Linked DNA regions of Anolis sagrei. The protein of the gene in region 1 binds, or shares a complex with, the protein of each later gene. Links are inferred from orthologs where the notes say so. Each region holds a gene or a part of one and is shown in the gene's direction. Other genes may lie near its edges.

Evidence for each region.
Region 2: CACNB1 (region 1) and CACNA1C share a complex: the UniProt entries of both Homo sapiens proteins name them as parts of the calcium channel complex. The link is inferred for Anolis sagrei from reciprocal best matches to the Homo sapiens genes CACNB1 and CACNA1C.
Region 3: CACNB1 (region 1) and STAC3 share a complex: the UniProt entries of both Homo sapiens proteins name them as parts of the calcium channel complex. The link is inferred for Anolis sagrei from reciprocal best matches to the Homo sapiens genes CACNB1 and STAC3.

The regions. Positions count from the first base shown.
Region 1 is NC_090026.1:43,878,280-43,885,793, forward strand, and holds the start of CACNB1 (voltage-dependent L-type calcium channel subunit beta-1), read left to right. Parts: upstream 1-4,415; 5' UTR 4,416-4,783; coding exon 4,784-4,870; intron 4,871-7,514. UniProt on the Homo sapiens protein: Regulatory subunit of L-type calcium channels. Regulates the activity of L-type calcium channels that contain CACNA1A as pore-forming subunit.
Region 2 is NC_090025.1:179,275,850-179,283,228, forward strand, and holds the start of CACNA1C (voltage-dependent L-type calcium channel subunit alpha-1C), read left to right. Parts: upstream 1-4,189; 5' UTR 4,190-4,532; coding exon 4,533-4,671; intron 4,672-7,379. UniProt on the Homo sapiens protein: Pore-forming, alpha-1C subunit of the voltage-gated calcium channel that gives rise to L-type calcium currents. Mediates influx of calcium ions into the cytoplasm, and thereby triggers calcium release from the sarcoplasm.
Region 3 is NC_090022.1:185,456,302-185,464,187, reverse strand, and holds the start of STAC3 (SH3 and cysteine-rich domain-containing protein 3), read left to right. Parts: upstream 1-4,591; 5' UTR 4,592-4,817; intron 4,818-7,886. UniProt on the Homo sapiens protein: Required for normal excitation-contraction coupling in skeletal muscle and for normal muscle contraction in response to membrane depolarization. Required for normal Ca(2+) release from the sarcplasmic reticulum, which ultimately leads to muscle contraction.

The DNA.
Region 1 (7,514 bases):
GTATTCGTGTAGAGTTTGGTCCAGATCCATCATTGCTTGAGTCCGCAGTTATCTCTGGATGTAGGTGAACTACAACTCCAAAACCAAAGGACACTGCCCACCAAACCCTTCCAGTATTTTCTGTTGGTCATGGGAGAACTGAGTGCCAAGCGTGGTTCAATTCCATCGTTGGTGGGGTTCAGAATGCTCTTTGATTGTAGATGAACTATAAATCTCAGCAACTACAACTTCCAAATGAAAAAAATCAAATTTTTGAGTGAAAGACATACATTGGGTTGTTAGGTATCTTGTGTCCAAATTTGGTGTCAATTCGTCCAGTGGTTTTTGAGTTCTGTTAATCCCACAAACGAACATTACATTTTTATTTATATGGATTCTTACTGGTGTTAAGTACCATTTCCATATTAACTTATAATTAACTTATAATTAAAACAGCAATTCCTAGACGACACAGCCGGACTAGATCCCTTCCAGTCCGGCTTCCGTGCGGGGCACGGGACAGAGACTGTGCTGGTCTCCATCACGGATCACCTTCGATGCCAGCTTGACCAGGGCAGGTCAGCGCTGCTTGTGTTATTGGATCTCACAGCAGCATTTGACACAGTCGACCACAATCTTTTGACCCACCGCCTTGCTGTTGCTGGAGCCAGGGGGACAGCTTTAAACTGGCTGTCCTCCTTTCTTCACAACCGTGGACAGCGAGTGGAGAGGGGAGGCCTGGTCTCTGAGAGGTCCCCTCTATCTTGTGGGGTTTCTCAGGGGGCCATTCTCTCCCCCCTGTTGTTTAACATCTATATACGTCCACTTGCTCAGCTGGTTCGAGGTTTTGGGCTTGAGTGTTATCAGTACGCCGATGACATTCACCTGGTACTGAAGATGGAAGGCCGACCGGACTCTGTACCCGATTGTTTCCATCAGTGCCTCGAGGACGTTATTGGATGGCTGCGTGCCAGCAGGTTGAGGGTGAATCCAGCAAAGATGGAGATCCTATGGCTGGGTCGACCGGGCAGTGGGGACATCCAGCTGCCTACCCTGGTGGCGAGGCACTACGCCCGTCATCATTGGTAAAGAGTCTGGGAGTCCTTTTGGACCCTCTGCTGACGATGGAGGCCCAGGTCTCCGCCGTTAGCAGAACCGCCTTTTTTCATCTGCGGCAGGCTAGACGGCTGGCTCCCTACCTGTCCAGGGACGACCTAGCTACAGTGATCCAGGCCACGGTCATCTCAAGACTGGACTACTGTAATGCCCTCTACATTGGCCTTCCTCTGTCGGTGATCCGGAAGCTCAAGTTGGTACAAAACGCAGCTGCTCGGCTTCTTGCGGGAATTCCGATGAGATGCCACATAACACCAATCTTACTACAGCTGCATTGGTTACCAATTGAGCACCGGATCACTTTCAAAGTGATGGTACTCACCTTTAAGGCCTTGCATGGTCTGGGGCCGATGTATCTGAGGGACCGCCTCACCCCCTACCAACCCCAGAGATCCCTCCATTCTGAGGACCAAGATCTATTGGAAGTCCCCAGTGTCAAGACCTTGCGCCTAACAGCAACCAGACGCAGAGCCTTCACAGCAGTGGCACCGTTACTCTGGAATACTCTGCCACCTGAAGTCCATGCCTTGCAGGACTTACCAGCTTTCCGCAGGGCATGTAAGACATACTTTGTTTCGACAGGCTTTTAATGTTTGATATTGCTATTTTTAAATTGTTTTAAATGGCTTTTAAAAAATTATTATTATTATTATTATTATTATTATTATTACTTTATTTGTACCCCGCTAGCATCTCCCGCAGGACTTGATGCGGCTTACATAGGCCAAGGCCTCAAAACACAATACAACAATACAATACCTAGAGCAAATTAAAACAGTTAAGCAGAAATAAACAACAGCAATAACAATACATCGAAACATCAAGACAATATAAAACTGGGCCAGGCCAGGGTAATGGGTACAAGATTAAAAGTGCTGATGTAGCAGGAGGTATGTAGGATTATAAAGTAAGTGTGGTGTGCGGTGTGCAGCAATCTTAATTCTGTTAAAGTGCTTCTAGGACTTGGTATTGGGGGTTCCTAATCTGAAAAGGCACATCGGAACAGCCAGGTCTTCAAGTTCTTTCTGAAGACTGCCAGCGAAGGGGCCTGTCTAAAATTTTGTTAGATTTTAGCCATTCTTGTAAGCCCCTCCGCAGGCCCATAGCCAAAATTTCGTTTCGGGGGGGGGGGGCTGATTTTTTTTCGGGGGGGGGTTCGGGGGGGGCTGAGTTTCGGGGGGGCTGAGTCCGAGTGAACGAGGGTCTAGCCTAGCAAACTTTTTGTATCATTACCCCAATACCCCCATGCATATGGGATACATTGAGTATGGTGATCAGATCATGATATGAATAAACATAACAGTTTAAATAATGCATCAGTAAGGCCTTTTCGCGAACCACCATGAGAATTTCGGGGGGGGGGGTTGAAGCCCCTCAAGTCCCCCCCTGGCTACATGCCTGTCCAGATCCATCATTGTTTGAGTCCGCAGTTATCTCTGGATGTAGGTAAACTACAACTCCAAAGCCAAAGGACACTGCCCACCAAACCCTTCCAGTATTTTCTGTTGGTCATGGGAGAACTGTGTGCCAACTTTGGTTCAATTCCATCGTTGGTGAGGTTCAGAATGCTCTTTGATTGTAGGTGAACTATAAACAGGCCGGTAGCGAAGGGGGGGGGGGGTTAAGGGTTCAACCCCCCCCCCCCCCCCGAAATGTTTCAGATTTAAAAAAAAAAAACTGGTTTACTCATGAATTTGAACTGGTTAACCAAATCCCCATGCTAAGTCTATGAGATGCAAAAAATCAAGAGTCCCTCCAGAACTGCAAGCACTATCTCAAGCAAATATTAGCAATTTATTCACACTGTCATTACTTGCAGCAATAGCCAATGTAGTTGTTCTGGTACAGCTTTATTTGCTTTGTATTAAATGTTTGCTTGCAGTCCTAGGTTTCAGGGACTCTGCAGAAAGGTGGCTTCTTTGGTTGCAGTCATAGGGCAAGTCACCTGTCCATCATCGTTAAATTTTGGTCCCGCCCCTTGCTCAGGGCAATTGGGAAGGGAAGGGAGCCATTTTTAGTTAGTCTCAGCAAAGTAAGCTTATATATAGGATGAGTGCAAGCTTCCCCTGTACAAAAGCTTCAACCCTTAAGACTTTCCAGGGGAGAAAGGTCTTAAGAGTCTCCAAAGAATTTCCAGGACCAAAGAACTCCAGCTGGAGAACATCTACTGCCTTGCTAGTAGGTCCACTCGGCGTTCGAGACGCAGTTCGACCCGGTAGCAGAGCCCACATCAGTAAGGGTTAGATTACAGTTAGCCTGGGAGAAGTTACGAAGGGGATTTTTCTTTAAAGAAGAAGTTATTGAAGACAGTTGCCTGTCCTTCGTGGGCAAGATTAGGAATTCACCAGTTGCCTAAAAGCTTGGAATCATTTGCTTAACTTTACTGAAGACAAGAGAAGTTTCTGTTTGATTGTTCATTAATAAAAGACTTTGTTGTACTTCTCAAGCCATCTAAAGATTAGGTTCTTGTGGGTTTTTTCGGGCTATAGAGCCATGTTCTAGAACATGGCTCTATAGCCCGAAAAAACCCACAAGAACCTAGTGATTCCAGCCATGAAAGCCTTCGACAATACATCTAAAGACTGTTTGTGGTGGAAACCTCTGAGAACTTCTCTTTAGGCCCCCTGGCTTCCCGCTGGGCAAAGGTTGCACATCCTGTTCTAAAGACAATTATTTACAGGCCCAATGCTCGACAGAACAGTACTGAAGCAACCAAGTTGGGGGGGGGGGGTGGAATGTTGAATGCTCTCATTAAGGAGGCCAGACTTGGTGGAGGTGGTTGACAAGGGCGGAGCTGCAGGCTATTGAAGGCTGCTCTGCCCCCTGCTGTGCTCTTTGCCCCCCCCCCTGCGAAATTTTCAACCCCCCCCCCCCAAATTTAAACCCCTCCCAAAAAATTTTTCTGGCTACGGGCCTCACTATAAATCCCAGCAACTACAACTCCCAAATGAAAAAATCAAATTTTTGAGTGAAAGACATACATTGGGTTGTTAGGTGTCTTGTGTCCAAATTTGGTGTCAATTTGTCCAGTGGTTTTTGAGTTCTGTTAATCCCACAAACAAACATTACATGTTTAATTATATGGATTCTTACTGGTATTAGGTACCATTTCCATATTAACTTATAATACTTTTTCCAAGCAGTCTTCAAAGGTTCTTCCTAATGTTCAGATTGAATCTCCTTTCTTGGAGTTTGAAGCCATTGTTTCAGAAGAAGGGCAGATAGGAGCAGCAGCAGGTGGATGCTGATAGGATGATGGCCTTGGAGGCTGCCCAGGAGGAGGGAGGATGGGAGGCTGGTTTGGGGCAACCCAAGTAAGGCTGGAGCCAGCCCTCCATCTCCCCTCCTCCTCCTGGGCAGCCCCTCCCTCCCATCTGCGCATCCCCCTTGGGCTCAGCCCACCCCACGCCCACCTTGCCTTCCCTCTCCCTTTGGCAACAGCAGCAGCAGCAACAGCCACCACCGCAGGAGCCTCTCCAGCCTTCCCTGCTGCTGCCAGGAATTGCCTTGCGCCCTCTCTTCTTCCTCCATCCCCGCCTTGGAGAGGGCAGCAGAAGCCATGCCGAGGCGACGGGCGTGAGGAAGGGGCTTGTGCCAGCCCCCGGGGGCGCCCCTTCCTCCCTCCCCGGCTTTGGCACCATGAGCCCGGCGTCGTGAGCGCAGGCGGCGGCGGGCAAGGGGCATCTCCATGGTGCAGGAGGGCGGCATGTCACGCACACCTTACAGCTCCAGCCAAGACATCCAGATGGAGGTCTTAGACAACCCTGGTCTCCAGGTGAGAAGGGGGGGGGGAGCAAGAGGGAGGGGGGAACTTTGGAGGTGGAAATATCACCTTCTGGAAAAGGATGGATGGGGAAAGAAGGGGCCAAAGGAATCAGGGAAGGGCTGATCTTCATCCACCCTTTTTCCCCTGGTTGAATTCGTCCCTGCTCGCCCACCCCTCCCTTGTTTCTCAACACGTACAGACAAGCAAGAGAGAGATGATGCTGGCAAGGCTTTTGCTTTGAGCCTCCCCAGTGATGAACAGCCATCTAAAGGGGTTAGGAAGTATTTGAAAGGCAACCTCAGAGGGATGTGGGATTCCTAGATTGGGGAGAAGGGAGGAGCAGCAACAGAGGCAGGAATGGCTGTTGAGTCTAGCAGTCCCTTTGATGCCTAGGGATTGCAACTTCCACAGAGAGAGCCCTTCTTCTCCCTTGGCACTAAGGAGAAGGGCTCTCTGGTGTCTAACTAACCTAACTAGGTTGTTGTGGTTTTTTTGGGCGATATGGACATGTTCTAGAAGCATGAACTATGATAAAATAATTTTTAAAAAATTTAAAAAAGAAATAAAATTAAATTTAAAAAAGAAGCATTCTCTCCTGACGTTTCGCCTGCAACTATGGCAAGCACCCTCAGAGGTTGTGAGGTGTTATCTGCTTTGATAATCTGGTTCTAGAAGCATGAACTATGATAAAATAATAAAAAATATATATCTAAAAGAAATTAAATTAAATTAAAAAAGAAGCATTCTCTCCTGATATTTCGCCTGCAACTATGGCAAGCATCCTCAGAGGTTGTGAGGTGTTATCTGCTTTGATAATCTGGTTCTAGAAGCGTGAACTATGATCATATATATATATATATATATATATATTAAATTTTAAAAAGAAGCATTCTCTCCTGACGTTTCGCCTGCAACTATGGCACGCATCCTCAGAGGTTGTGAGGTGTTATCTACTTTGATAATCTGGTTCTGGAAGCATGAACTATGATAAAATAATAAAAAATATATATTTAAAAATAAATACAATTAAATTTTTAAAAGAAGCATTCTCTCCTGACGTTTTGCCTGCAACTATGGCAAGCATCCTCAGAGGTTGTGAGGTGTTATCTACTTTGATAATCTGGTTCTAGAAGCATGAACTATGATAAAATAATAATTATATATATATTTAAAATAAATTAAATTAAATTTAAAAAGAAGCGTTCTCTCCTGACGTTTCACCTACAACTATGGCAAGCATCCTCAGAGGTTGTAGGGTGTTATCTACCTTGATAATCTGGATTATATGGCAGTATAGAAGGGGCCTTAGTGTGTCATACAGTCTGCCTTGTATTTCCCAACTAACCAAATGTCTTGTCGAAGGCTTTCATGGCTGGAATCACTGGGTTGCTGTATGTTTTTCGGGCTGTATGGCCACATTCCAGAAGCATTCTCTCCTGACGTTTCGCCTGCAACTATAACAGGCACCCTCAAACCTCACAACCTCTGAGGATGCTTTGTCGTAGATGCAGGCGAAACATCAGGAGAGAATGCTTCTAGAATATGGCAATATAGCCCGAAAAACCTACAGGAGGTTGCTTGCCATAGATGCAGGTGAAACGTCAGGAGAGAATGCTTCTAGAACATTGCATATAGCCCAAAAACCTACAGGAGGATGCTTGCCATAGATGCAGGTGAAACGTCAGGAGAGAATGCTTCTAGAACATGGCCATATAGCCTGAAGAATCTACAGGAGGATGCTTGCCATAGATGCATGCCAAACATCAGGAGAGAATGCTTCTAGAACATGGCCATATAGCCTGAAAAACCTACAGGAGGATGCTTGCCATAGATGCATGTGAAACATCAGGAGAGAATGCTTCTAGGATATGGTCATATAGCTCAAAAAACATATAACAACCCAGTTATTCCAGCCATGGAAGCCTTCGATAAGACATTAACCTAACTAGCTCGCTCGGGGCTTCCGCTTCCTGATTTGATTCAGACACCAGGAAGGCCCAATTAGTAAACAGCAAAATAAAGCAGGAGAGAGTCATAAAACTGGTTGGGTTCCCACCCTGCACTGTTTCGTGCAAGCGGATGATCTCAACTCAGTGCCTGTTCATCTATCTTTCCAATCCATCCATCCACACATGCAAACAGATGACAAAGCCAGACCCACAGAGGGACTTTGACAGTGTGCCTCTATAAAGTTAAGGGAGGGCATGGGTGATTGGGTGGGTATTATTGGATGCTATCGAACACATAGGAGCCCCAGTGGCGTAATGGGTTAAAGCACTGAACTGTTGAACTTGTTGACTGAAAGGCTGGCAATTCGAATATTAGGAGCGGGGTGAGCTCCCGCTGTAAACCCCAACTTCTGCCAACCTAGCAGTTCGAAAACATGCATATGTGAGTATTTATTTACTACGTTTATATACCGTCCCTCTCAACCGACTCGAGGCGGTTTACAGTCGTTACCAAGACCATAAAATACAATTAGAATACAATGAAAAACATTAAGATAATGTAAACCATAGCATCTATATAAATAAAAATGTAATGTTCGTTTGTAGGATTAACATAACTCGAAAACCACTCAACGAATTGACACCAAATTTGGACACGATACACATATCAGGCCAACGAGTGCCCATCACTCATACAAACACTG
Region 2 (7,379 bases), on another chromosome or scaffold:
CTCAAGGAATATGTGTATAGGATTGAAGGTCTACTCAGAAGTAAGTTCCATTAATGTCAATAGTGCTTACACCCAGGAAAGTGGATGTGGCTTGAAATCATATGTGCTAACTAGAAATACAAAGTCTGTCACTACTTCCATGTTTTCTCCCTTTATTTGCCAGTTATCAATCAGTCTGATTGCCATAATCTTGGTTTTTTTAAAAAATATTTAATTGCAACCTAACTTTTGCACTTTCTTCTTTCATCTTGGTTGTAAGGCTATTCAGCTCCTACTCACTTTCAGCCATCACAGTCAGGCCCGTAGCCAGGATTTCGATTTTGGGGGGGGGGGGGGGGAAGCTGAGTTGTTTTCAGGGGGGGTTTTCGGGGGGACTGAGTTTCAGGGGGGGCTGAGTCTGAGTGAAAGAGGGTCTACCCTAGCAAACCTTTTGTATTATTACCCCAATACCCCCATGCATATGGGATATATTGAGTATGGTGATCAGATCTCTAATGGTATTCCGCAAAAAAGTGAAGACCTGGCTGTTTGTGCAGGCATTCAAATAACTAGTGCAATGATTGGTAATGAACACAGGAATGGAACAATGGATGACGAATCTGGATTATGGTTTTGATGATGAGACGATAGTGATTGGTTACTGTAGTAATTGTCTAATTTATGTAATTTGTTAAGTTGTTAAATGTTTTTATACTGTTTTTTTGGTTGTGAACCGCTGTGAGTTGCCTTCGGGCTGAGAACAGTGGTATATAAGTAAAGTAAAGTAAAGTAAATAAATAAATATGAATAAACATAACAGTTTAAATAATGCACCAGTAAGGCCTTTTCGCGAACCACCATGAGAATTTCGGGGGGGGGGGGGGGGCTGAAGCCCCTCAAGCCCCCCCCCCCCCCCCGGCTACATGCCTGATCACAGTGGTATCATCTGTATAGCTAGGATTGGTAATGTTTCTTCCAGCAATTTTAACTCCAGCCTCGGATTCATCAAGCCCTGCACAAAACCTGATGTGTTCTGTATACAAGTTGAATAGGTAGGGTGAGAGTATACAGCCCTGCCATAGTCCTTTCTCAATCTTGAACCAGTCTGCTGCTCAATGGCCTATTTTTACTATTGCTACTTGGTCATTATACAGATTCCTCAAGAGACAGGCAAGGTAGATACAACAGGGCCTCCCAACACATACACACATCTCACCCCATTTTGCTTCAATCCCAATCTCGGCTACAAGGCACATAGGAAAAAAAACCCAAATTATTCCTCAAAAACACCAGACTAAACTGGAGGTGTTATTTTTATTGCTTCAAAACATTAAGCAAAAGATCAGATTTCAAAATGAATTGGGAAGAACAGTGTGTGATATATCAGGACTGAAATCATGGTAAAGCTCCATTATTTCCCATGTGAAGATTCAGCCCTAGAAAAGAACAGAGAACGTTTCCCCTGTTTTATCCTGGCTAGCATACTCTGTTTCATCTGCTATCTTTAACTAACAAGCATTTCCAAGAACTGAGACAAACTTGCTGATAGCAATTTTTTTTAGGGATGACTCAGAAGTTCATCTTTCCCTTTGGAATAAGTCATGGTTGAATAAGATTTGGTTCCACCTCCTATTTTGAAAGACTCTGATACATCTTGTACCCTGCAGCCCAAGACTCAGCAGCTCAGTTACAGTCATATGCAGCTGGGCCTTTTCTATGAACAGCTGCAGAATAGTTTAAGCCTCCACAGTCTTACTTTCCATAGATGAATATGAACCTCAGTTGCAGATAAGAGTTCACTGGAATAGAGCAAAAGACTGAAATAAGCTGGTTAATATCAAAGATGTGCCCTGAAGTCAGTGGAACTAATGAGAAATGAGCCCTTTGAAAACTGAAGCCAGGTGTAATAATTTTGAAATGCTGAATACACCAATGTTTTTTTTTTCCTATAGTTTTTCATCAACAGTGTTTCCCCCTCCTCTAGTATGTAATCCTTCACCACATAAGACTTTCATGTCAGGACCATTTTGTACTTAACTGATTGACTTCTTAAAGATACTTCGTAAGTACTTAGAGGTATATGAAATAATGCTCCACACAACCAAACAAACTGAAATGTAATCTATGCAATCATTCCAATCCATGCTCCTGGTCAGTTGAAAGGCAGATGTGTGTAGTGCCATATTCTTCAAAGGTAATTTAAAGATGGGTTTAAAGCTAACCCTAAAAATGTGGTATAAACACTGAGAACTGGGAAGGACAAATGGTTCCTCTTCATCCTGGAAAGAAGTGACTAGTGGAGTGCTACAGAGTTCAGAAGATTTAGGGTGTGCTTATCAAGTTTGCAGATGACACCAAATTGGGAGGGATAGCTAATACTCCAGAAAACAGGATCAGTATTCAAAATGACCTTAACAGATTAGAGAACTAGGCTAAAATTAACAAAATGAAATCCAACAAGGACAAATTTAAGATACTACACTAAGGCAAAAAAAAATGATATGCAGAGATACAGAATGGGTAATGCCTCGCTCAACAAGAGCCCATGTGAAAAAGATCTTGGAGTCTTTGTGGACAAGTTGAATATGAGCCAACCGTGTACTGCAGCAAGAGATACTGACAAACTGGAAGGCGTCCAGAGGAGGGCAACCACAAGGATAAAAGGTCTAGAGACCATACCCCATGAGGAGCATCTTAAAGAGCTAGGCATGTTGTAGGTTTTTTGGGCTGTATGGCCATGTTCTAGAACATGGCCATACAGCCCGAAAAACGTACAACAACCCAGTGATTCCTGCCATGAAAGCCTTCAACAATACAGAACTAGGTATGTTTTAGGTATGTTTAGCCTGCAGAAGAGAAAGATGAGAGGAGGCATGATAGCTATATATAAATATGTGAAGGGGTTTCATAAGAAAGAGGGAGCAGACTTGTTTTCTGCTGCCCTGGAGACTAGGACTAGTGGCGTAAAGACCTGGGCATGTGGAGCTGAGAGGAGACACGGTGGCCATGTGTAAATATGTGAGGGGAAGTCATAGGGAGGGGGGAGCAAGTTTGTTTTCTGCTGTCCTGAAGACTAGGGTGCACAGCAATGGGTTCGAATTACAGGAAAGGAGATTCCATCTGAACATTAGGAAAGAACTTCCTGACTGTTCAGCAGTGGAACTTTCTGCCTCTGAGTGTGGTAGAAACTGGATGGCCATCTGTCAGGGATACTTTGATTGTGCTTTTCCTGCATGGCAGGGAGTTGGAATGGATGGTCTATGTGGGCTCTTCCAACTTTATTATTCTATGACCATGGTTACATACTTAAATATCTCTGTCCACAAAGAATGGCATAAATTATATACTTTACCTAAAACAAGTAAACTTCATTTCCTTACTAATGTCATGGTTAGGTGCACAGGATTTATAGCCCTATAACAGTAATAATCATGTCCAAAAATCATGTCCAATGGCCAAATCCCAAAGAATTTGGATACTTAAGAAATAAAAAGACAATATTAAAAGCAACTTGGATTTTTAACAGTAGCTTGAGCACTTGTACATTATTTTATAAGAAATGAATACTATGAGATCCAGTTTCTAGTGAAACAGACTAGTAACCAGATATAATTTTATTACTCATTTGCACAAAGTCTGGCTATAAAGCGAAGGCAACAAAGCCATTAAAGCATGCTGTTCCATCATGATTTACAGTCCCAGACACAGTCCTTCACCATCTTCTGAGGCCAATCTCTGGAGCCATTTGCAATCTCAAGATTAATTTCACTGGAAAGGTTGCATAGTTACAGAGTAGACTGCATTCCTTTCCTTTTAAGGGGATGCTTGTCTGCCCTTATTTTTTTAATTGCTGGAAAATATGTGAAGGCTAGTGTTCAGTACTTGCACTAAAGGAGGCACTTTACATCAGTCATGTTGCTCATAGATGAAAGAATCTAGACATTCATTGCATGATCTACATGGCATTTTGCATCTCTTAATTTCCTTGTGTTTATTATTACTATTCATAAGTATATTGGACTGGATCCCTTTTAAAGAAATGTATGGTTTATATCTCTGGAAAAAGACAGTTTCACATTGGGTGAAGCCCAGAAAATCAAACAACCCCTTTAGGAAGCCAACTTGCTCCAAATACATGGTTACATTATCAGAGAGACGGTGGTGGTGATGTATGAAAAGCAGAGACCTCCATGACTCAGGGAGGTGATGAACTGACAGGCAGATGGAGCCCGTTATCTTAACTTCTCATTCCAAGTTTTCCTGTAAAACTAGTTGAAGGGGAGAGGGCTTTTAAGCAAGTGCGAGACACAGAAAGTAAAAAAAAAAAATGGGGAGGAGGAGACTGAAAAAACAGATGGGCAATGCATGAGATGGTGCTTGCTTTCTAAAGTGCATGACTGAAAAGTCTGCACAGTTGGAAAGTTTTAGACTTCACCAATTCTGTGGCAACTAGGTTTGGATATCTCTGAAGTCTCCTGAATTGTCACTATCAAGGAGAGTTTGTTGATGCTATTTATCTATTGAGCCTAGAAACATTCATTTGGAGAAACAGGATGTTTCAGAACCTGGTTCGGCATGCGACCTCGGCTTATCGTCCGCTCCCCACGCACCATCCAGGGGAGCCAGGAACAAAGTATACTGGCAAGATGGTCCATGAAACCCAACTCAGCTGCTTCTATAGTCCACCTGGAGGTAAGGGGCTCAAAGTGGCATGCTGTGTATAACCTCATAAAGATAAACTTGGATTTTATGCTATATAAACATGTTTTATAAATACTTGAGTAACTGATAAGGTATTTCAACCCCTTGCTGCAAAATATGCAACATACTGATCTATGGAATTCGGGGGGGGGGGGGGATCATAACAAATCCTGTTGTGTTTTGAATACTTCATGTCTAGTATTTTTGTCTAGATTACATATGAAAGTGAATTTCTCTGGAATGGGGAGAGATGGACCTAGAATGCCGTATTAACAAACAAAGTTCAGGAGCAGGGAATGTACTAGTTTGAGAGAATAATGCAATTTATACAAATGTTAAATTTTATTTATTATGCAGAACCTACTGAAAGACAATTTGATACACTGAGGACTAGTGAATGCAGAATATAATTCATATCAGATACCATTTAATTTGTGCATTGTCATTATTTTCAACCTCAACATTGCTATACTACATAATTTTGTTTCCACTGTTAAAAATAACCTGGCTGTTCTTTTGCCAGATCTTATGTTTTGCACTCTTGTTTCCTAACATGCATTTTTAAAAAAATCTGTCCCCACTGAAATTAAAGTGGTTTGTGCATAAGCACCTTACCAAAGGGCTTGTAGACTTTTGAAACTGACTAACAGATGTTAAACCTGATTAAGTTATTAATTATCGAATCTCTCATTTTTGAAAAGTTTTTAAGTCATGTGGAGTTTCCATTTTACCTGTTTGGATAGAATTAGAACCTATTTTGATGAGTATTCTCTAACACTATGGAACAGGGATAGTAAGCAATCTGACTTCTCCCCAGCCTTAACTACTATCAGCTACTTATGGTTTTTCTTATCGCAACAAAATCTAGGATTCCTCCAGTGGGTAGAATGTGCTTAATAAAAAATATACATCTAGACTAGAGTGGTGTGTTACACATGTTGAGAAATCCAAAAAGGAACAATCTGATATATGGCAATACGTTTTGTTTAGTTTTATGAATGCCATTCATATCTCCAATGCACAACAAGTGCTCAGAGTATCTATCCACTTTCACTTGTCTTAGATTCCTCCCACGTCCAATTGTAATGCCATCAAGCCTCACTGTTGACAGTCCACATAGCAATGTTATCTTAGGCACTTCAGTCCATCTCCTCTCACATGGCATTGTTCTGATTTGATATAATATTTATTTAACACTAATTAAAGCAATATTGTAAACTATTATAATTTGCTTTATATATGTATGCATGGTTGGTGATGTTTACTGATACGTTTCCAGAAGAAACAAAGTAGATAATCCCATAAATTATTTAAATCATTTGAAGTAATCACTTTTACCACTATATACATTACTATATACATAACCTAGCCTACATATAAGCAAACAAAACTGGAGTGATTCAGACCGCAGGTTTATATAGCTCAGTTGCTGTCAGGAAGCAATTCTACAAAAATTAAATAAATAGGAAATTCTCAAGTGAGAACAGAGGGAATGGAACTTTTAAGAAAACTTTGCTACTTTGCCTTTTTTCTGAATAAGGGAGCACATGTCATGGTCACATCCAGATTAGATTACTGAAACAAGACAACCTTGGAAGAGTGCTTGGAAATTTCAGCTAAGGCAGAATGTAGCAGCTACAATACCACTTGAAGCCTACTGATTTGATCACTAGTTTTGCTGTTGGTCCATTCCAAGCTCAGTTTGAAGTGCTAGATATGACCTTTAAAGCCCAAAGTGGTTTGGAAACTAGATATATTAAGAACTGTGTACATAATCACAGCTTCAGTAGAGCCTTGTTCCTTTTATCAGTAACTAAGAAACAATGTGTGAATAAATGGGAATAGTCCCCATTAATTTATGCTATATAAACATGTTTTATAAATATTTGAATGACTGATAAAGTATTCCAAAATTATAGCTTACAGTCTATAGCAGTAGTTCCCAACCTTTTTGACCAGGCCCCACTTGAATGGGGCCACTTGACCAGGGACCACTTTGACCAGGGACCACTCTCCAATATTAGTACCAAAAGGGGCAGGGCTGGTTAGCTCTGTGGAAAGGAACGGAAATATAAATAAATAAATAAAGAGGAAGGAGGTTCACAGACTGGATTTTTGTTCTCGTGGTTCACCGCTGGGCCACAGCCCACAGGTTGAGAACCACTGGTCTATAGTGTACCAGATAACCAACCTATGTGTATATATAGATGTCAGGGAATGACATCCCCCAAGAATCCGTTAAAATTTTGGATCTATTGGCAAACTTTGGCTTCTTTGAAAAACCGTCAGCACCTGTTTATTTTTAATGGAAGAAATCTTAAACTTCCAAACTGATACCATTAAAAATAAATCGAATTAACATAATAAGCAAAATTATCAGTTTCAACCCAAACAATGCTGTTAAATTTTCTAGTAATTAATACTAGGTATGTAATAGTGGGTATGTGTTCTGAAAACCTAGATGTTGATCATTACCAGTCTACTCTTCCATTTAGAGGAAAGTTTTGAGATGGTTTAGGTTTCACATGATGAATGATAAGGCAAGTCAATGTTCCATATTAAAAAAAACATGCCCTCAAATATGTCTCATAATTCACTGCAAGGCACTGGGCTACATAACAAATATACATTAAGGCATTCCCTAGGTAAATGTGAATCTAGCTAATCCAGAACAACTTTTGGAAAATGAAACACTTTTC
Region 3 (7,886 bases), on another chromosome or scaffold:
GAACCTTTCTGAGAAGGATGGGAGAAATTGACATTGGGCTGCTGTTTGAAGCAGCATCATTAGACTGAGGATAAAAACTAGTTGCAACCTCAGTCAATAATTGGTATAATTGGCCCTTAATATCCTTTCGAGGTTGGTTCTAAAATACATAAGTTCTCCCAGTGATCACTTAAATCCATGGATGCTCAAGTCCCATTATGTACAACAGAGTAGCAAAACTGTGTTCTTTATATAAAATAGAACAATTAAGGTTTGCTTTTGGGAATCTTTTTAAATACAGAGGGTGCAAAATGTATACACATTTTATGTATTTTTAATGGTGAATTGAACTACAGTAGCAATGTGTAGTATGACATTCGCTCAAAAGATGGCATTAATCAAATGAATACTATCATCACTATGAGACAGGCAGGTGATCAAAGAAAATGTTGAAAGCATGGTTGTTGTTTAAGGAGCACAAAACCATTTTGAAATGCTATTTGCAGTTTGAGAATGCTGTGGAAGTAAAACAACAATAGAGGCAACAGAACATCCAAAGTGTCTAACAAATGCAGTTGTTCCTGATCAGTTTGAGACACATGATGCTGTGTGTGATGTGCACAAGGGAAGATTCAGGAGACGTTGCACAGCAACAAGTCCTGCTTCTCCTATGATGTTGGAACAGTTTACACACTCACCGGAGATGTCTACCAATCAAATTGCACATGAGACAGGAATTAGCTGGCACATTCTTAAATCAGTAAATTGGGAAGTTTTCACCTCAAGATTATTACATGCACTGAATGAAGACAGCCCTGATCTCAGGGTTCAGTACTGTGACTGGTTCCAAAAAATAGTATAGAAGGATGAGTTTGTGGAGAAAATGATTTGATCTGACAAAGCACAGTTTAAATTGAACAGAAGAATGAAGAGGTGCAGCCAAATTTCCCCCACGTTCTCCAGACTTAACACCCCTTGACTTAACACTCCATGGCAGTAGTTCCCAACCTTTTTTGACCAGGGACCACTCTCCAACATTAGTACCAAAAGGATTACGAATCAGTTTTTAGTCAACTTTGGATTTGTTTGGTTATTTGGGGTGCTGATTCAGAAAACTGCATTGCAAAGGCCACATCAGCTCTAGTTTCTGATACAGAACACGTGCCAGCTGTGGTAGTAGTAATCTTTCGTGGGTAGTCAGCCTCTCCCCTACCGACATCCCCATTGCCTTAGGACTATAAGAGGGTTTTGCAAGACCAATCACTCTTGTTGCTTCGTGGTTTTGAGGCAACTGTATGGTAATGGTTAAGCCGCAGACCATATTTTCATTCTGGACCACTGGCAGTTCACTGACCACAGGTTGGGAACCACTGATCTGTGGAGACCTTAAAGGATGTGATGTACCATAGAAACCTGCTACACTGGCAATACTTTGGGAATAAATTGAAATGGCATGCACAGCGATACTAGTGCACACTTTGGTCAACGATGCTCAGGCATAGTCCACCATAATCAGAAGTGTCTGGAAGCTGATGGTAACTATTTTGAGCACCTCTTGTAATTGCAGAAGCCAAATGTGACTTGTATTTATCTTTTGTGTTTGTGATGTGATATATATTATTACAATTTTAATTCTGCCTTTTCCTATCTTAAAATGTATTTTTAGCACCCTTGGTATTTGCCATGGATGGTTGAATCTGTGAATGCATAATCTGTGGATAAAGAGGGCTGACTGTACCACCACTGACTTGAAAAGCATTTTGAAAGGGTCTTGACTAGATCAAAAATGAACACTAGTGATTTTGTAATTGGGGGACAAAACTTTAAGGATTTTTTTTAACCTGGTATATTGCATAAGAGAAGCTGTTATGTGTTTAATATTGGTATGAAAGAATCTATTCAGTGGGCAGGCACAAATCCACTTTCTTCTGGATTTTGAAGTGAGATGGAGTCAAAGGGATCAAAATTTAGTTTGATTTTCTCAAAGTCATGGATCAAACTTGGAATAATGGATGAAATGACTTCCCTCAAATATGCAGACATCACAGCACTGGCCAACATACAGAATTGAGAGTTAAGAACATCCAGATTGGAGACTGACTTCCAGGCAAGCTTCTGCTCCAGAATCTATTCATTTTAGATATTCACCTAGATAAAATGTCTAAATGGGGTATGTTTGAAGGCTGCAATGTAATTTCATCAATGTATCAGATCTTAACTATATGGAAATGTAAAATGCAGACTTTGGCCGATCTTTTCTGCTTGTTGGAAGAAATTAATCAAAGAATGCTGAAGAAGTTAATTTAGTCCTTCTTTAAAAGACAGATAGTAGCGTTATCTGATTCGTTATTCAATTATACTATCGCCCTAATCTAAAAGATCTGCAAATCAGAATATGTTGATTTGTAGAACCGTTTTATGTTTTTGTGCTTCAAAAACAACCATATTGAATTTGCCAAGTAACTTAGAATTCTTTATAAATTATGCAAAACAGTAAAATGTCATATGCATGTTTTGTACAATTAATTTGGCTTCTAGATTTGAGAAGAGGCATAATTTTTTGTGAGCAATGAAACTGCATCATTGACCCATTACAACTAATCGCCTCTCTCTGATACCAAGGCTAAGGTTCTTTCCACACAGCTGAATAAAATCCTACATCTGTTTTGAACTGGAATATATAGCAGTGTGGACTGAGATAACCCAGTTCAAAGCAAATATTGTGGGATTTTCTGCCTTGATATTTTGGAATATAGGGCTGTGTGGAAGGGCCCTTTGAATTACCAAAACATTACAGAATATAGCAAATTTAGCTTTTATTTCAATTTTCCCAATGTCTCTTCAGGAATATGTCCCTTTAACTTGAGTGGAAACTGTTTCCATGTGAGAGGTTATAAGATTATAGCCCCAGTGCCAGAGAAACTGACATTTGAACTGGGGGCCCTTCCACACTGCCCTATATCCCAGAATACCAAGGCAGAAAATCCCACATTATCTGAGTGCGGACTCAGATAACCCAGTTCAAAGCAGATATTGTGGGATTTTGTTCCTTGATATTCTGGGATATAGGGCTGTGTGGAAGGGTCCTAGGTGCGCCTTGGATTCTGTTTGCTCTGCCGACAAATTAGTAGGCAGCCTTAAGCAAACTACATTTTCTCAGCCCACCCCACCATTACTGCCTTAGTCATTTTCTAAGAATAATGCTGTCTCTACAGTACTTGGATGATGTCTTTATTCCTCCACATTGAAGTACTTTGCACATTTACAGTTGATGAACGTATCTCCCTCTATGAACCACCTAGGATCTTAAGATCATCTGGGGAGGCCCTGCTCTCAGTCCCTCCACCTTTGCCATCGCATTTGGCTGGAACGAGGGTGGTAGCCCTCGGCTATGGAATTCCCTCCCAAATGAGATCAGAACTGCTCCATCACTCCTGACCTTCCGGGAAAAAAGTGAAATCCTGGCCGTGGGATCAAGCGTTCACACATTAGACTGATTTGCTGGCAAAGAAATGGTTTTAATGGACTATGTTGGACTGGTTTTAGGATGATGACTTAAATTGGAGAACTGTTTAAATGTTTTTATATTGTTTTATTATAATATGTATATTTATGCTTGTTTTACTCTGTTGTTGGCACTATGCTGGGCCAGTTGGTAGCTGCCCTGAGTCCCTTTGCAGGGGTTGAGATAGGATGGGATACAAATGCCCTAAATAAAATAAATAAATGTGGAAGTCAGTCTTGTTCATTGTACAGTAGAGTCTTGCTTATCTAGCCTTCGCTCATCCAACGTTCTATATTATCTAATGCAGTCTGCCTCCCGCCTCGATCCACAGCTGTTTCAATACATTACAATGTTTTGGTGCTAAATTCGTAAATACAATCATTGCTGCATAACGTTACCATGTATTGAACTGCTTTTTCTGTTGATTTGTTGCCAAACATGATGTTTTGGTGCTTAATTTGTAAAATCATAACATAATCTGACATTTGATAGGCACTTTCCTGAATACCTCCTTATTATCCAACACTTTCATTAATCCAACATTCTGTTGGCCCATTTATGTTGGATAAGCAAAACTCTATTGTACTTTGTGAAGCACTTCTATCTGTAAGGAAGATAAGCTTCACGGAAAAGGTCATAGAGGAAATATTAGGATTGTGTGTATGTGCGTTGTGCACAGCTTGTTGAAGTAACTTTTTGGATTATAACTCCCAAAATCCTTAGGGGAGAACAATGGGTTAGGTTGACAAGGAATTGTAACCCCTCCCCAACCCCAGCAGTTTTTCAAAGCTCTAGTCCAATGTCTTCTCCATGTTCCTGCCTCTCTCCCTCCCTTGCCATCTTGTTCTGGAATGACCTGATGAGGTACAAATTTGTAGATCTGAGCTGGTGAATGTGTGATCCAGGCAGCAATGTCTCTTTGAGACCTCATAGGCAAATGAGTCGTAGTTAGGTTCCATCTTTCTCTCTCATACACACTATTTTGACAGTTCCTACCAATCCCCAGGGAGTGGACTGAGCTGTTGCGTTGCTGTCTCAGGCAGTTTGGCCTACTATTCATGCTAAAGCTCCTTGCCAGTGTCCAATTTCTCTGTGTCAGCCCTCCCAATGGATGGCAGCTGTCTTTTCCCCTCTCACCCTGTCACTTGAGTTCCTCGCGGTGCTGGGACAGCAAACTTTTATACATTAAGTCCTGGCAAGGGGAAACTCTTTATCTCCTATGGATCTCTAAAGTGAGATATTGGGCCAGACAGAAGAAAGTGAATTTTCAGGAGTGTCTGATATTTTTCAGAAGGATTTAATCTGCTGGAAAGTGGTAGCTTTATTCTTGGAGGTAAGTGCTTTCCACTTTTCCCCCATTGGGTACTGGTATAGTCTGTTTTCCCCCTACATGGAGACCTGAAATTTTTTTGGAGTTTTAATGCTTATGAACATGACAGTTGTTTTTCACGCAAACTGTCGAAAAGCTGTCCTCTTGATTGCCAGTGTATTTTACCCATTTTAATCTGATTGGCTTCATAAGATGGATAAATGCATGTCTTTCAGTCTGTTGAAACATAAAATGGTTGACACTCCTTTTCTGGCTGAGGGTAGGAAGAGATTCAAAGGACAGATAATACTGCAGAAATGTTCTGTTTTCCTATAGTCTTATCAGTTAAGGATTGTGTGGGATTCTCACACATACAGAAACTCTCCCACCAAAGCTTTTGTAAACAAAGATTGAAACATTCCCAAAGCATGCTCATTTTTGTCACCTGATTTCTGCAGACGGATAATTTCCAATGAAATTTGCTGCTAAGCAGGGAAAGTTTAGTACCTCTCAGTCACTTGCCATTTTGAAAAGACAGGGAAGGACGTTTTTGGCCCTTTGTAGAAGCTCTGAGGAGATTACATGCGGGCTTGTCCTTCCTCTTTGAAGAGCAAGGAAGATTTTGTCCTTGGGAAAGCAGCTATTTCAGATGTTCAAAGCAAGAAGTTGAGTTTTACACCAATATGGTGCATGTGATGTTCTTTGTTCTATGCTGGAGGCTGTTCTTTGGTGTCCCAACCATGTAATGGAGAGTTTCTGGTGGAGCTCCAGGCAGCCATGATGAAATCTCTAGGAACCTGAGATGGGTGGCTCCTATGAGATTTGGATCCATTTGTGGACACACAGACACCAGAGCAGTTACAGAATGGAAAGCCAAAATGCTTTTCCACTTACGTCCCGCCAATGACGTGGGTAATGGCACACAAGTACCTTGTGTCATGTTTAGCCACTCCTTGACTGTCATAAAGGCTTCGGAAATGGGATACTGGGAAGCAAAAGAAAAGAATTGCCTTGAGGGCCAAGAATTGTTTCCATGTGTGATATTGTGGTCCAGTCTTTCTGTTCATTACTAATAATACTTTTAGAAAATTTTGGAAAAATGTGCAGCTTGATGTATTTTCAGTCAGCTTAGTGAGATGTTTAGAAGCATATATTTGGATTTTTACCTGGGGCTGAAGTTGTGTTGGGTAAGCATCAACACTATTTTTTACACTAAGCTAAAGTATCTGGAGTAAGAATAATAAAGAATGTGTGGAGAATGCCTTTCCCTCATTTTTGAGTTAGCACAGATTGTCCTTACACATCCATGATTAAGGAACTGGACTTCCCAGCATCTAGTTTATAAAGGAGTGTGGTATTTGTTTGTACCTTTTCAGTGCTGGATGCTGTCTGAGCTCATCAAATGTTAATGACCACATGATGACGTATCACTCCGTTTGTGTACAAGTTTCTTTTGACAATGAATTACTCCTGGCAACTCCCCTTTGGCCATGCTGGTGTGTCTTGTGAATTGTAATCTAACCTCCCTGCTCAAACTTTTCCAGACTCTGTCTCATACCCTCTTGAGAAAAACAGTGCGGCATGGAAAACAAGAGTGTCAATCTGTCGAGAAACTTCTGTACTGTCTCACTTGATCAGATAAACTCCATCTCTGGAACATATATCATCATAGCTTTCTAAGTCTGATGCCATCCTTTGAGCAGATTTTATTGCAGAGTTAAATTTCTTCAACAGTTGTGAACTCTCAGGAATCCTGGAAATTATAGCTCTATGGGTTTTTGCTTCTTAGCACTCACTCAAATTAAACAACATTCCAAGGATCTGTGACCTTAGAATAGATGATACAGAATCGTATAATTGGAAGGAACCACAAGGCACATTCAATCCAACCTCCTGTAATGCAGGAATACTCAGATTAGTTATAAATCCATATAACTGATAAATACCCTTGGTGCTGTTCATTCTGTGCCATCCAGATTTTTTGAACTAAAACTGTTTTAACCTCTGAATTCTGATTTATTTATTTTTTGTTGTGTCAGGAGCGACTTGAGAAACTGCAAGTGGCTTCTGGTGTGAGAGAATTGGCCGTCTGCAAGGACGTTGCCCAGGGGACGCCCGGATGATTTGATGCTTTTATCAGCCTTGTGGGAGGCTTCTCTCATGTCCCCGCATGAGGAACTGGAGTTGACAGAGGGAGCTCATCTGCCTCTCCCCGGAGTCGAACCGACCTGTCGGTCTTCAGTCCTGCCGGCACAGGGGTTTAATCCACTGCGCCACCAGGGGCTCCTTGAACACTGATCATATGCCACCTGAGAGTGATAAGAGCAAGGTTGCCAAGCGAACAGCATCCCAGAGATTTCAGGGCCAAAACCTGGAACCAGGGAGAGGATTCTTGTGATGTCATAGGGTTGGGCCTTGCTCCAAATTACCACGTTGAGCCTCAGTGTGAGCACTCACTGTGTCTCACCCTAGCGCCTTCCCCTATTCGGTGTACCGAGGCTGCTCAAACATATTATGCATGCAACGCTTTTAAGACGAGCCAATGAATCACAATATCAACTGGGAATGGGTGGAGGCACATACCCACATTTTAAGGCCACCTCATACCTAAAAATATCACTCCAGCATTGCTCATCCTGAGATCAGTGTCTTTATCTGGAGAACCAGGAAAGCACAGTAGTTCCCCAAAATCTGGAAACCCTTAAGGAGAGTTATACCCTGAAATATCACCTATTGCTTCCCCTGGTCCTATGCTGAGTTAGACAAAACTTTATTGGAATGCATATTAGAAATGGATCTATACACGTGAATTCTGTTTGCTTGAACTGGATGAAACTTTTAAAAACAGAAAATGACCAAATCTCCAGCCTTAACAGAAAGTAAAAGAAGATCAAAGGTAAATAGCTTGTATTGGACTTGACTAGGAACTCTAGGAGTGGGTGTTTAGATCTAAACAAGCCTGATATCAAAAAATGGGATAACATGGACTAGCTCCCATAACCCTGGCCAGCATAGATAATGGTAAAGAGTGATCAGCATTATAGGCCAATGGTATGTGTTACTAGTTCTCCACCCTACAAACACAATAAAGGA